2 linked regions of the Mus musculus genome follow. The protein of the gene in region 2 interacts with the protein of the main gene of each other region in a biochemical or structural test. Links are inferred from orthologs where the notes say so. Each region holds a gene or a part of one and is shown on either strand. Other genes may lie near its edges.

The links. The genes of interacting proteins can lie anywhere in the genome.
Region 1: the proteins of Acta1 (region 2) and Gc are reported together in a solved structure, tested with the Homo sapiens proteins (2 studies listed by BioGRID and IntAct). The link is inferred for Mus musculus from reciprocal best matches to the Homo sapiens genes ACTA1 and GC.

Annotation. Positions count from the first base shown.
Region 1 is NC_000071.6:89,453,950-89,461,595, reverse strand, and holds the start of Gc (vitamin D-binding protein precursor), read left to right. Parts: upstream 1-3,697; 5' UTR 3,698-3,877; coding exon 3,878-3,935; intron 3,936-7,646. UniProt on the Homo sapiens protein: Involved in vitamin D transport and storage, scavenging of extracellular G-actin, enhancement of the chemotactic activity of C5 alpha for neutrophils in inflammation and macrophage activation.
Region 2 is NC_000074.6:123,889,905-123,897,674, reverse strand, and holds Acta1 (actin, alpha skeletal muscle), read left to right. Parts: upstream 1-2,899; 5' UTR 2,900-2,983; intron 2,984-3,163; exon of another isoform or gene 3,164-3,253; intron 3,254-3,965; 5' UTR 3,966-3,977; coding exon 3,978-4,106; intron 4,107-4,204; coding exon 4,205-4,529; intron 4,530-4,680; coding exon 4,681-4,842; intron 4,843-4,939; coding exon 4,940-5,131; intron 5,132-5,264; coding exon 5,265-5,446; intron 5,447-5,522; coding exon 5,523-5,666; 3' UTR 5,667-5,917; downstream 5,918-7,770. UniProt on the Homo sapiens protein: Actins are highly conserved proteins that are involved in various types of cell motility and are ubiquitously expressed in all eukaryotic cells.

The DNA of each region.
Region 1 (7,646 bases), on a different chromosome or scaffold from region 2:
TATCTATCTATCTATCTTAACTCCTAATGTATTACTGTCAACTCTGTCCTGTCCAGATAGCTATTGTCAAAAAGATGAATGCCAAAAGGTGTTGCTGAGGATGTGGAGAAAGGGGAACTCGTACATACTGTTTGCTGGTGGGAATTGTTCACTAGTTCAGCCATTATGTAAAGTACCACAGAAGAGTCTCAAAACTAAAACTACAGAACTACATTGATCATTGGATCCAGATCTGCCACATCAGGTACACAATCTAAAGTCCTGAAGTGTCTCAAAGAGCTACCAGTACCTCTGTGCTTATTATAGAATTATCCACATTAGTCAAGATATGCAAGCAAGGTAAATAAATCCCCATCCCTGAACAAATGAAGGAAATACACTCACATATGTATATATGTGATTATATATTTATTTGCATATGTATGTACATACAATGTACATCTATGTGAGAAGTGTATGTATGAGAGAGAGAGACAGAGAGATGGGAGAGAGAGAGAGAGAGAGGGAGAGAGAGAGAGAGACAGAGAGAGAGAGAGACAGAGAGAGAGAGACAGAGAGAGAGGAGAAGGGGGAGGAGGAGGAGGAGGAGGAGGAGGAGAAGGAGGAGGAGGAGGAGGAGGAGGAGGAGGAATGGAATCATTTGCACTGTTGATGCCTGAAGGGCCTTGTGCTAAAATTCGGGCATTTATAGACAAACACTGTGAGGTCACTATTACATGTAGAAGCTAAACTAAACCAGCCTTATAGAAATGGAATAGAAAGGTTATGGGTACCAGATGATGGAGTTGGGGGAGGAGGAACTGGGACCAAGACTTTGCTCAAAGGGCACAAGATTTCAGTTAGGTTAAAATAGAATTTAGCAATCAGCCACACTACAAGTGATCATCACTGTTAGTCATTAGGCATTTCTAAATTGCTAACTAGACTCAACACTCTAAATAATAACTTATGGAGTGGTAGATACATTTTAAATGTGGGATATTATTTAAAATATTATTATCCAATTTATCAGTTATCAGACAAATATTTTGATGGCAAATTTAATAGAATACAGGTCACAAGGCAGATGAACTCCCAGGAAGAAGTCATTTCTACTGGAGTAAGGTATTGGGGCATTTCCCTGCAGTCTTTGGCAGCATCAGACGCCAGAGACACTGGTTTAGTTCAGAGTGCAAGACCTGAGAGCCATTTAGAAAAGAGAAATGCAGCAGGAAGAACTAAAGAATGGCCCTGCTGCTTCCTCTCTCCTCCCAGCTTCCCCTGATGAGGACAAGAGTCTACGTTTCCTCTGAAGCTAAGAGAAGGACAGAGAAAAAAGAGAAGCCACTTTTGATAAGATGTTTAAGATTTATTCATTTGAATTTGTGTGTGTGTGTGTGTGTGTGTGTGTGTGTGTGGCATATGTGCAAGTGCCCACAAAGGTCAGATAAGAGCATTGGAGCCATCTTCACTCCTAAATAAATTACCTATATAAAGAACATGCCTGTACAAGTCCACTACCTAAATATTTAATTAAATGTGTATCTCTACAATAAATTCATCAGTTTCTACAATGCTTGTTCTATTACAGGCTCTGAAGTTTGATTTGGTCTCAGTTTTCTTCACATTAGATTTACTACTAACAATTGTCACACAAGGTGTCCTTTAGGCCACTTTTGTGTATTTCTGCTCTACTTTAGGACAGCAGTAGAAGAGTAAGAAGAGACACCAAGGTCAGACTGAAATGGGTGCATTTGTGCTGATCTTCAGTTAGAAAAAGACAGATGCATCCCTGAAAGTTGTTTTTGGCAGCTTGTGTGGAGATTTCTCAAGAATGTGCCTAATTCAGATGTTGCAATTCTTGCAACATGTAGTTTATCATTAAACAGCAAGAGTGTATTTCCAAAACACAGATAGAGCTATAATTTGAAAAAAAAAATAGATATGGGCTAGTCTTAAATTTTGTTGCAAGCACTCATGGAAAACAGTCTAAATGTATCTTTTAAAAAACAAATTATGAGAACATGACTGAGATACTATGTAGATTCTAATGATATTTATAGTGTAATCTTGGCATTAAAAATATACAAACCTGTTAACAATTGTACCAATCTGTGTGTTCTTGGTGGTTTTGATATTTTGAGACATCTGTTTCCAAATATTTGTAGTTAAGAATAAAACTTCCTTTAAATTAACTTTCGCAAGGGAAAGAAAATCATGCAGGCTTGTATTACACATGAAATTAACCTTTACACAGAACGCAGGTAGTGGGTGAGCAGGAAGCTGCCTGTGTGTCTTCAGCAATGCTTGTGGCCTCTGTTGATATCTTCTGCTGTGTGGGTTCCACTGGCTTTTAAAGAAATAGTTCCTATTTAATCTTACACCACTGAACCTAACACCCACTCACTTCCCATACAGTTGTTGATCTGACTAAGCAGGTAACTGTTTACTGTGGTTTGAGATGTTGGTGGACTCTGTCTGCACAGCTAATCTTTAACCACTGAATTGATTGGTAAGGGCATTCTCAGGCACCTATCTTTAAGAGCCCAGACATGGGGTTGAATTTTAAATCTTCAAATGGAATGTAGATTTCCGTGGTTCCTATGCTATCCTCAGATGTTGGAAACATGAGTAGTCAGGGAGAATAACTAGGAGAAATGAAAGAACATTAATGCGTGCAAACATGCATTAGATATCCGGCACATGGTTCATCTTAATCCCACACTAAGGGAAGAGCAATACATACATACATACATACATACATACATACATACATACATACATACATAAATACATAAATAAATAAACAACAAATAAACCAACAACCCCCCCCCTAAGAGTTCACAACTGAACAATGGGTCTAGAGAGGAGAAATAAATCTATATTATTCAGAAATAAGAGCTGGCTAAGACTGTGGTTCCTGAACCTGAGGACCCAATGTCAGTGTAAGATCAATATCTGACATTCTGGGCAAGGTACAGGATTCACATGAGGGAAGACTCTCTTTTCTAAGATAGAGATGCAAGATATCAAGTCCTAAAAGGTCCCTGTGAATTTTTTAGTTATGCTATTATAAAATATGTCAAACACATGGTAGTAGAGGGATCTCTAACTGATCTGCAGTGGTCCTAAGATTTTTACATCACATCGTGTGTGTGAGTGTGTGTGGTGGGTACTCACATGCTCATGTGCAATGGTAAGCCAGCCATTGAAGCTCTCCATCTATTATTTTTCTCATCTCAAGAGCTATTCTAAACATATACTCAATAGTGCACTGTAACACATAGATATAAGGCATGATGTCACCACAATTACCTAATGACATTAAATTCATGGAGTTAGAGAATTGCAATAAATTAACTGGCTTCTTGCTCTTTACTCATAACTTAAAATATCTAATCTGTGATATTTTAAAATAATGCTTATTTGTGTTAGATTTAAAGAGAGAAAGAAAGGGAGAACAGGAGGAAAAAGAAAGGAAGAAACACAGCTCCCAATTTTTCCATCAATACATAGGAGTGGTAGGGAGTACCCAGAGAAGACATAGACATATCTTTTCCTCCATATAGAATAGGGAAGTGTACCCCTACTGGTACATTAAGTAGATGCCATGGAAAAACTGCAGTGGGAAAGTATCCACATGCCTTGGCTTTTCCCAGTGACAAAGTTAATGATTAAAACCTCCCAGACTCTCCTCCATATTCCCCAGGGGTATCTATTTGCCTTATGATGATATTACTATCTATTTTTGGGAACAAGGCTGATTGTCCCTTGCTTCTGGGCAGAGATTAATAATTGATGAGTTTCTAGTTAGGATCGTTTGCAAATCCTGTGCTCCTGCCTTTTGCGTGGTGGCCGGCAGGTGAGAGGAGGTGCTGCAAGACTCTCTGGTCGCAGAATGAAGAGGGTTCTGGTTCTCCTGCTGGCCTTAGCCTTTGGGCACGCTCTAGAGAGAGGTAAGGCTCCTCTTTTCACTAAGAACTATTGCTAATTTAATTTCCCAGTGCCACTTTAAAACTTGAAGAGTAACTAACAGAAGAAATAGTGGATGCTCTAGAAGACAATAAAAGAAGGAACAAAGAGGGATCGATCTGAGCTCAGCTGGGCCATGTAGCATTAGTAAGAAATGCTCCCCACACATAAGAAATAAGTAGCTCACTAAAGATAGAGGCAGGTATGGCGGTGCATGTCTGCAACCTCAGAACACTGGAGGTGAGAGTGGGAGGATCTTGGGATTTCAAGTTTCCCTGGTGAACTGGCTGCATAGGGAGTTCAAGGCTAGTCTGGGCTGCCCGAGACCATCTGAAAACAAGCAAAACAACTCCTAAAAGAAAGTAGGGTTATGTAAGCTTTCAGTTTTCCTCCCCACATTGGATAAGTAAGATCTATAATGCAACCGGGGCCTCTGGTACACAACTAAGCATTTTTATTTCCCAAATGCTTACCCTCCTTGGTATCATCACGATGTCAGTGGTACAAGACGCCAGCTGAGAGAGCTCTTTGATCCTCCTTAGAGGATCGTACTCTTCAGCAGTTGCAAGGAACGAGAGTTTTTAAAAATACCTCTCACACAAAATAAGAAACTTTAGTATCTCTGAAATAAAATAATAAACAAGGTAACAGGGGTGGTGTTTCATGGAAATCACCCTTGCCCTGGGACATTGGCCTTTGCAGTGTTCTGAGGCTTCCGACAGTGCTAGCAGGTCACAGGACATGTGTGTAACTTCATAAATTCTGCAACTGGAAAACTTTCCAGAGATGTTTCCATTGATTTTTTTCCAGATGATCTCTAAACCCTAATTTAGCCTTTTATTGTACAGTTTAGGTGTTATTTTATAGATTTCCCTTTGAATAATTTTCATCTCTGGATTATTTTTTGATGCTTATAAGGGCATCTGCACACACTCTGATTTGTCAAATTAAGATGTTCATTTAGTACTCTTTCTTGACAGCAGCATTCAAACCATTCATGTATATTTATAGTAATAACACATTTAACCAGCAGTATATGCCTCCCTGGGAATTATCACTTATTAATGATGGCAAGAATAAACTCAGTCTTGACTTTATTTCTAATTTATGTGCGTTGGTGTTTTGCCTGCATGTATGCCTGTGTGGGAGTGCCATCCACTAGAACTGGAGTTACAGGTAGTTGTGAGCTGTCATGTGGGTGCTGGGAATTGAACCCTGTTCCTCTGAAAAAGCAGCGAGTGAGTGTTCTTAACCACCGAACCATCTCTCTAGTCCCTGCATTCACATTTTTATGTGAGTTATTTTGTTATTTAAATTATGTTAAATTCATTTTTATTCATCTGCATATGCTTACTACAGCTATAAGTCCTGAGTGGAGACTACCAAATCTTAGAAAAATAGGTACTAGTGAATAGATGAATTATGTAAGCGGTGGTGCCATACGCAGCCCTGAAAGCGCCTTTGTAAGTGTCTGGGGATACATATAACCTTGAGATATGCTACTGAAGCAAGTTCAAACTCAGTCTCCAAAACCAAAAATCCCAGGGTGTGCTAGGGTTGGACTCAGCAGGCAGCCCCTGGGTCAGCTTCAAAATTGCAGACATAAAGGCAGTCTCCCACCTTTATTTCACATTCTCAGCAGCCATAGTCCCAAAGGAAACAAATGAAGCGAGAGGGAAAGGATAGGGGCAGAGAGAGGGGCAGAGGGGAGAGAGAGATCAAATCAGTTCCCTCAAGTCGTATAGCCCGTGTCCTGTAGACCAGACAAGACCCAGAGCCATGTAAAATACATTTACAAAGTATTTGCCAGGACATGCTTCATCTGTGGTTCCCTATTCTACCACACCAAGTGTGGCATCCGGAGCCACAACTGCGTCAGCGGGAGCCATGCTATGATCCGATGGAGTCTGGGCATGCCCCCTGCTGGTTGGAAGTGGTAGAGCACAGACTGAGACTGCAGCTGGCTTCCAGTTCAGAATGGCCGCAAGACTGGCTAGAGAGAGGGTTAGGATGCGGGTTGAGGTGTGGGGTGGTGGTAGTTCTCTATGTCTGACATTCTGAGAGACCTAACAGTTTCCTCAAACACTATTTCAATCACCCTGTGCTCAAGACATAGCTTGAAAACTGTTCCCTCGGTCCAGCATATTTGAGAAAGTAGCCGTTCTTTACTGATTAGCGGTTTACCATCAATGTGTCCACCGTAACAAGGCAATGGTAAGTCCACAAGAAACCCTACTTAAATCAGTTTTTTAAAGACACTTGACCTTTCCTAAGAGCCAGTAATCTGAAGCTGTCTTTTGGAAACTGGATCCAGTTTCCAAACTGGGCCTAAACCCGCTGTGCCACAACACAAAGTTCTCCCTCTTAGGAACTAGGTTTATCTCGGGGAAACTGACTTAGGAAATCTACCAAGTCATAGAAAACCAGACACTTCAGCTGGCCCAAGACGTGCAGAGGCAGTTCTTGCTGGCTGATCCATGTTCTTTCCCAAGAACTGAAACAGAAGCAGCGCTAACCTGCAGCTGACCTTCCCAGGTCCTCTTCCCACACCAAAGTAAGTAAGAGGAACCAACTATTGCTGCAGCTTTACAGTTACTAAGAACATAATTATCAATAGGAAATAAGCTCTTATAGACTACTAAACTGGTTTGCATCCAAGTTTCTGTTAAGTATAACACCAAACTGGGAAAGAAAAATGAAAGATGGTAAAGCTACATTTCCTCTTCTTCTTCTCCTTTACAAAATCTCTCCAAACGAGCTCTCAAGTCAGAAAAGTAGTTACTGCTGTCATCAAAAGAAACATTAGCCTCCTTGCAAACCAATAGCAATGTCATGGTTACAAAGCACAATGCCAGGAGTGCAGTCACCGCTATGTGTATAAGAATTAACATGCACACCCTTTAGAAGACCATGAGTTTCACCTATAATAGGAAGAAGATAAAGAGATCTTTTAACTTAACAATGGGGTCCCCCCCCACTATCTGTTTGTTATAATTATCAACACGAAATGGAGAACTCAGTTTTAGCCCCCATTGCAGTTCTCTAGTGACTGACAGTAAGTGATCAATGAAATTTTTGAATACTGCCACAGAATCTGGGTACCCACTTTAAATGGAGTTTTGATAATCATAGGAACATTGAGAGCCAGATTTGATGGTTCATGCTGTAGTCACGGAATTCCAGCACTCCAACTAGAAGGTTATGACAGTAGTGAAATCAAATGCTAATGTGGAATTTATCTAGAAAAGTGGCTCTCAATCTGTGGGTTGCAACTCCCTTGGGGGTTACATATCAGACATCCTGCATATCAGATATTTTCAATTCATAGCAGTAGCAAAATTACAGTTATGAAGTAGCAGCAAAATAAATTAATGGCTGGGGTTCACCACAATATGAGGAACTATATTAAACAGTTGCATCATTAGGAAGGTTGAGAACCATTGGTAATGAAGAAATAAATTCTTCATGGGTGTCTACCATTGTTAACATGCTTAGTATACACAGTATCTACAATTCATGTTCTTTTAAAAGTCTCAAGAATGATTTCTGCAATCTAATTGAACCTCTTGGACCAACAACTCCATTCCAATCCCCACAGCCTGTGCCTCATAATAACCCTCACGGCACCCTTCGTTTCTATGAGTTTCACACTTCAGATTCCATGGATAGAATCATTTTACATGTTTTTTATTCTG
Region 2 (7,770 bases):
GCCAGAGGTCTGCAAGACAAATTCATGGTGTTTCGGGCTGTCATGGTTGGTCCCACATTCTGAGTGTTCCCAGTGTGGCCTCCCCCACCACTGCCAGTCTGTCCTCAGAATGGCATAATATTCATGTATAAAATACAATATATGTTGAAAAACAATGTGTATATATGTTGTATATATTTATCATATGTGTATGATATGTGCATATAAACTCTGGCTGGCCTCAAACTCTCAGCCCCTGTGCCTCAGCTTCCCAAGTCCTAAAACTGCAAGTGTACACACCAGCCCTGGCTAGAACAATTTTTTTAAGGCGTGTGAAGCCTGACATTGAGCTCATATCCAAAATAAACACAAGTAACTGGTGGACCTGGAAGCTGGGCTTCTGTTTTGAAATGAGCTTCAGTCGACCACCTTTTGTATTGTGTGGGCAATGGTGAGTACTTAGCACACCTTTGGACTTCTGTTCTCAGAGGAGCTCCAGTTTTCCTTCTCCTGCTGGGATGGCAGGTCCTTGCATGCATCTGCATTGCCTTAATAAAAACGAGGTTTTCTTTTTGTCTGCTTTTCACTTGTAAGAACCAGCTCCTTACGCTCGGCCGCCCAGCCCGAATTCAGTCCCCAGTGTGAGTGGAGAGGGGACCAGCTCCCTCTCCTGTCCTGTCCTGTCCTGTGACACGCGTGCCTTCCCTGTCAGGCTCTGAGGTTCCAGAACTGCTGCTGCAAGAGTTGAAAGGGTAGAGCCGACCTGTGCTGCTGCTCACTAGGGAAAGACAGACTGATGCTAATACAAGCCTAGGCTGCAACAGGACTGAGGGATTGCCGTGCTGCCTGTTAGTTGTCCTGTTTGCTTCTGGTAGATACCGCAAGGACTTACAGGATGTGAGGGGTAAAGGGGCAAAGGGGGGGGGGGGGAGATTAAGAAGAGGTGTGGGTGTGTCGCATGGTGGCGTAAGTGCCCTGCACACAAGCATTTAAGGGCCCAGCAAGAAGACAGCCGGCGAGAACCTAGCCGGGATTCCAGAGAAAAACTGTCAGGAAAGGAAAGGGTGCAGCTGAACCTAGAGTTTACCTGCCTACTCACCTGCCTGCTGCTGCGCCAGGTGTGGGGCCGCAGGTTTCCTGTAGTTCGCAAACCACTGCGTTCAAGGTCCACTTTATGCTGTCACGCAAAGCTGAGAAATCTGCATAGTGGGATAAGCAAGAGCTTTCGAGAGTCTGGGGCGGTATGTACAGCCCGGCCCGATGAGGTCCAGTCACCTGGACAATTCTCCCTACATCCATGCCCCAAATGTAAGCACCCCCAAAGCTGACCATAGTCTGCATTTGCTGCTTGCTTCTTTTTAACAGTTCCAGGTCCTGGCCCAGGGCACAGGCAAAGCCACAGAGCTGATGCCCGTTAGGCAGTGCAGCTCAGGTTTAGGAAGAGCTGTGTGGGATCCTGAAATCGCTTCATGGAGCCTCTGCTCTCAGAGGCTCTGCACCTGTCCCAGCTGCTAAGTTCCACTCCAAATGGGAACAGCTATTTTGGGAGCGCTTAAGCCATCAGAAAAGTGAATGGCTCCATGGTGGCTTGGCTCTGATGCACACCCCTCAAAGCATGTCGCCTGTTTGGTCACAGAACACTTTTCCTTTGGGCTTTCTTATCCCTCTCCCTGCCCAAATTGAGACAGGCGCCAAGAGATGACCTCTACTCACCCCCATCCCAGCTTCCATAAGTTGCTCCTTCTAGAAACCCAAAAGCAGATTCCCATCTATCAGCGGTATAAATAGAACCCACACAAGCCTGGCAGGTGGTGGCCCCAAGGTGCATGGGAAGCAGCCGGGCTGACGGGCATCATCCTCTAAATATAAAGATGAGTCTGCCTGGGAGGGGCCGCTCCTGGGCACCAGTGTAAGGTCTTAGTGCTCCTTAGAAGGTATATCTTCATCAGCACCTCTCTCTGCCTCAGCCCCCTCTAGGTCCCAACAGTTCCAGGTATGATCCTTCTTTCAGACCCAGGGGAGGGAAGCTTAGTGCCACCAAAGAAGGGGTAGCATTTGCTCAGCCTAGCCAACTCGATGACGGTCAATCCCGAGTTTGGGATTTACACACACACACACACACACACACACACACACACACACACACACACTGACCCTTCCATTCCTTTCAAGAGTACACTGCAGAATGCAGGGACAGCTCTAATGCCCTGGCCTCCCATTCTGTGTGCCAGGGCCACATAGTCCCCATGCCTCCTCTCACTACCTCCTCCCCCTCTTCCACCAGTTGTCTGCCCAGTGACAGCTGCATATCCTACACTGACTGACAGCCTTGTGGGGGTGAATGGGGGTGATGTGTGTCAGATCTCTGGATTGGGGGAGCTTCAAAGTGGGAAAGAAAATGGAGTTCAAATGTGGGGCTTATTTTCCATCCCTACCTGGAGCCCATGACTCCTCCCGGCTCACCTGACCACAGGGCTACCTCCCCTGAGCTTAAGCATCAAGGCTTAGTAGTCTGAGTTAAGAACCCATAAATGGGGTGCATTGTGGCAGGTCAGCAATCGTGTGTCCAGGTGGGCAGAACTGGGGAGACCTTTCAAACAGGTAAATCTTGGGAAGTACAGACCAGCAGTCTGCAAAGCAGTGACCTTTGGCCCAGCACAGCCCTTCCGTGAGCCTTGGAGCCAGTTGGGAGGGGCAGACAGCTGGGGATACTCTCCATATACGGCCTGGTCCGGTCCTAGCTACCTGGGCCAGGGCCAGTCCTCTCCTTCTTTGGTCAGTGCAGGAGACCCGGGCGGGGACCCAGGCTGAGAACCAGCCGAAGGAAGGGACTCTAGTGCCCGACACCCAAATATGGCTTGGGAAGGGCAGCAACATTCCTTCGGGGCGGTGTGGGGAGAGCTCCCGGGACTATATAAAAACCTGTGCAAGGGGACAGGCGGTCACACGGACGTGAAGCCTCACTTCCTACCCTCGGCACCCAGGGCCAGAGTCAGAGCAGCAGGTAGGGTGGAGGTGGGGAGGGTGACCTGGAGACCCAGCAAAGAAAGCTATTGAGCCTTGGGCTTGTATTTAGCACTGAGTTCTGGAAATTTCTCCAAACTCACATCCAGCCCATTTGGGCTGCTGACTGGGCATTTAGGATATGCCTGGGGGTCTGACATCTATCCATTACCACCCGCAGACTCCTCCCTCCCCTCTTACTGGGGACTAAATCCAAGTCCTGCAAGTGAACAAGCCGGTGCTCTCCTACTGAGCCACACGCCAGCCTCTGGTTGGTTGAGATTTCTTTCCGGCTTTTCATTCCCCTTTCCCCTCTTTCTCTGCTGGGATCAAATCTGGGCTCTTGTGATGCAAGAGGTTGGCTGGATCTCCCACTGAGCTACACCCCAGCTCCTGGGAGACTGATTTGAAGATGAGCTTGGAGAGAGTCAAGCCTGGCCTTAGCCTTGGGGCGACTCCCTTTGAGATCAAGGCTTTTCTAAAGGGCAGCAACCCTGGCTACTCTTCTCTGAAATGGGAGACAGGTGGAAGGGTTTCTTCTGAGTTTGGGATGCTGTGAGTGTTCAACAGCTTTTCCATAGTTGTGACAATATCGCCCTTCCCCGGGCAGAATCCTCGACCCTCTCACAGGACAGGCAGGTGGTGGGCAGCGTGCCTTAATACCTCCTTCACAGATGAGATTGTGAGCAGAGAGGATAGGACTAGTGCTAGCTGTGGTGTGTGTGGTGGCCTACAATGAATGTAGAGGGTCTCAGGATATCCCCTGCATGCCTAGTTGGAGGACTTAGTGTGATCCACAGACAGCTCCCCCATAGCGAAAGCACAGCCTTAAGCTGGAAGAGCATCCTCTGACCCCCGTGCAAGGAAGGGGAAGGGGGAAAGGAGTTTTTGGATCTCCAAAGTGAAGATGGGTTAAGCGGAGCCTCACCCTAACCCCCCCCCCCCATCACATATACACAGCACTCAACACCTTGTCTTTGCAGAAACTAGACACCATGTGCGACGAAGACGAGACCACCGCTCTTGTGTGTGACAACGGCTCTGGCCTGGTGAAAGCTGGCTTTGCCGGGGATGATGCCCCCAGGGCTGTGTTCCCATCCATCGTGGGCCGACCCCGTCACCAGGTCAGGCTGCTGGCAGGGAAAGATAGGCTCTCTGAATCCAGCCAATGTTCTCCTCACCCCTGGCTGTAGTAACAAGTGTCTGATGTCTCTATCTGCAGGGTGTCATGGTAGGTATGGGTCAGAAGGACTCCTACGTGGGTGATGAGGCCCAGAGCAAGCGAGGTATCCTGACCCTGAAGTACCCCATTGAACATGGCATCATCACCAACTGGGACGACATGGAGAAGATCTGGCACCACACCTTCTACAATGAGCTGCGTGTGGCCCCTGAGGAGCACCCGACTCTGCTCACCGAGGCCCCCCTGAACCCCAAAGCTAACCGGGAGAAGATGACTCAAATCATGTTTGAGACCTTCAACGTGCCTGCCATGTATGTGGCTATCCAGGCGGTGCTGTCCCTCTATGCTTCCGGCCGTACCACCGGTAAGCGCTCACACATGGCCCACACATGGCCCACGCTGGCCCTGGTAGGATTGCTCCAACATTCCAGCCCCGCTTTTTAATCCTCTGCAGTATCCCGACCTGCGCCGCCTGCTGGTCCCCTCCACTCACATACTGCCTCTCCCCTGCACAGGCATCGTGTTGGATTCTGGGGACGGTGTCACCCACAACGTGCCCATCTATGAGGGCTATGCCCTGCCACACGCCATCATGCGTCTGGACCTGGCCGGTCGCGACCTCACTGACTACCTGATGAAAATCCTCACTGAGCGTGGCTATTCCTTCGTGACCACAGGTGCGTGCTTCCAATGCCCGCTGAGGGAGGGCGGGCAGAGGGTGAGCACACGCCCCAGGCCTTGCCCTGAGGCCCCCCACTGCTTTTGCTCCTGCAGCTGAACGTGAGATTGTGCGCGACATCAAAGAGAAGCTGTGCTATGTGGCCCTGGACTTCGAGAATGAGATGGCCACCGCTGCCTCTTCCTCCTCCCTGGAGAAGAGCTATGAGCTGCCCGACGGGCAGGTCATCACCATCGGCAATGAGCGTTTCCGTTGCCCGGAGACGCTCTTCCAGCCTTCCTTTATCGGTGAGCCGCCCGATCCGCTGGTGTGCGGGAATCAGTTTTCCCTCGCCCCACGCCACAGAGTACGGGGTCTCCACCCGCCGGTCCCTTAGCCCGACTCTGCGGTTGCTCACACTGCCTCTCCCCCGGACACCAGGTATGGAGTCTGCGGGGATCCATGAGACCACCTACAACAGCATCATGAAGTGCGACATCGACATCAGGAAGGACCTGTATGCCAACAACGTCATGTCAGGGGGCACCACCATGTACCCTGGTATCGCTGACCGCATGCAGAAGGAGATCACAGCTCTGGCTCCCAGCACCATGAAGATCAAGGTGGATGACGTGCCTGGTGTGGGTGGAGACCAGGGGCGGGGGGAACACGCAGGCACGTGACACTCTTGTCTTGCAGATCATCGCCCCCCCTGAGCGCAAGTACTCAGTGTGGATCGGTGGCTCCATCCTGGCCTCGCTGTCCACCTTCCAGCAGATGTGGATCACCAAGCAGGAGTACGACGAGGCTGGCCCCTCCATTGTGCACCGCAAATGCTTCTAGGCGCACTCGCGTCTGCGTTCGCGCTCTCTCTCCTCAGGACGACAATCGACAATCGTGCTGTGGTTGCAGGGTGGCCCCGTCCTCCGCCGTGGCTCCATCGCCGCCACTGCAGCCGGCGCCTGTTTTTGACGTGTACATAGATTGACTCGTTTTACCTCATTTTGTTATTTTTCAAACAAAGCCCTGTGGAAAGGAAATGGAAAACTTGAAGCATTAAAGCCAGCCATTCTGTTTTGCTCCAATAAACTGTGTGTGGTCTTTATTTACTGGGAGTAGGCAGTGGGCAGGCGAAGGACCCGTCTCCACCTCTCACTGTTCACAGACTGGGTGAACTCCTTAGGAAATGAAGTTAGAAAGTTAGGTCTTCTCACCCAAACTCCGTGGTTTTCCCTTCTGAATCATAGCCAGTTCCCTTATAGGGGATCTAAGTGGCTTGCCTGGTCCCTGGCTGCTTGGCAAAGTATCTTCCCCTTTAAGAGACGGCCACTGCCCGCTGCGAACAGGCGGGCGCTGGCCGTGGTGCTGCCCGAAGCGCCTCTTGCCAGGGCTGGAAATTGGATCCTTTAGCCTAACAAGTGTGTAATGAGAACAATCACCATCCCTTCCTTTCAATCAAATGCTGGTGGCACAGAGAAACGCTCTTCTTGCAGGGCTGTGGAGAAGCTGCCCGGGTGGGAGGACAAAGGAGAATCTGGTCAATCCAGAATGGAAGCACCTCACAAAGTCCAAGGCTGGCAGCCGGGCTCGTAGAAGACACAAGCCCAAGAATTGGTCACCTCTTACCATCTTAAAAACCCAACCCAGAGCCTTAAGCATGCTAGGACAACACACAACCACTGAGCTACATCCCAGCCACCACCAACGTTTTAAAGATACAAACCACGACAGTTTGAGATTCCCCAGGAGAGAACTACACCTGTTTTTATCCCATTTCTTAGACATGATCTCATATGTAGTAGAGGCTGGCCTTGAACTCTCAGCCATGCTTCCTCCCCAGCCTCTCTATGGTTGGCATCCCACTAACATCACCAGTCTCAACTTGCTGTTAAAAGTATCTTACTATTCCCAGTCACTATTTCCAAGGGCAGTGGTCTAAATAAAACAGGTGCCAACTTAAGAAAGGAAACCAGCTCACTTAGAAGCATGTTCACAGATAGGCTAGCCTGTGTAGCTGTTATCTGCCACAAAGCTGAGGGCTTATTCTCTCTTCCTTTTCTATTGACAAACTCCAGAAATGTCTGAGGACCCCAGGGTACTGTTCAAAAGATCTGGCTTCTACATACAGCTTCCGACTTTATTACAATGAGCACACGGTGCCAGACTTACTGAAAGCCACATGTCTGTCCTACTCAGCACGGAGGAGAGTTTAAGATAGACCAATTTCTAGCCTTATATAGGAACTCTGATTGCATTGATAATACTAACTATAAACAAAGATGTTTGGCCTGCTGAGACCCAATGCTGGACAAACCTCATCCACAGCCTGAATAATTTGCACAGCAAATCACCCAGGAAATGATCAGTATTCTCTAAGTTAGCTGCCGTATTGAGCATGTTGGGGCCAGGGACTTAAATATGAACATAGCAGAGTAATGACCCATTTCTCCTGCAGTGGCAATCACCAAGCAGCTCAAGATATGTTGAAGCTGACAAAAGTTTGAACTCTGAAATAGAATCACTTCCCTGAGCACCGGTCAGAGTCTAAGACTCAGTTTACCACTGAGACGGGTACAAAAATTATGAGCTATATAATTTCACTCAAGATGCGTACCAAGCCTAAAGTTTCCTTTTTTTTTCCTGATATTTCTTTGAAAAGGAGCAAGTGTCATACATTTCGTTAAGTGTTCTGCATCTTTTCATGCCCTTGGAGAAAGTTGTTGATATCCTGCATGCCTAGTTTATGGAGCTGGGGGGTGGGACCAATGCTTTGCACATCATATGTTATGCAAGCTCCTCAGCAGCCGAAGCCCAGTCCCAGCCCTGGTGCTCTGTTCCAAGCTGCTGTCCTGCACAAGTCCCCAGAGGACAACACCAGCTGGAAGGCCAGGGGGCCTGGAGGCCCTGCAGACTAAAGCTGGCATGTAACATGTCCATGGACCATCTG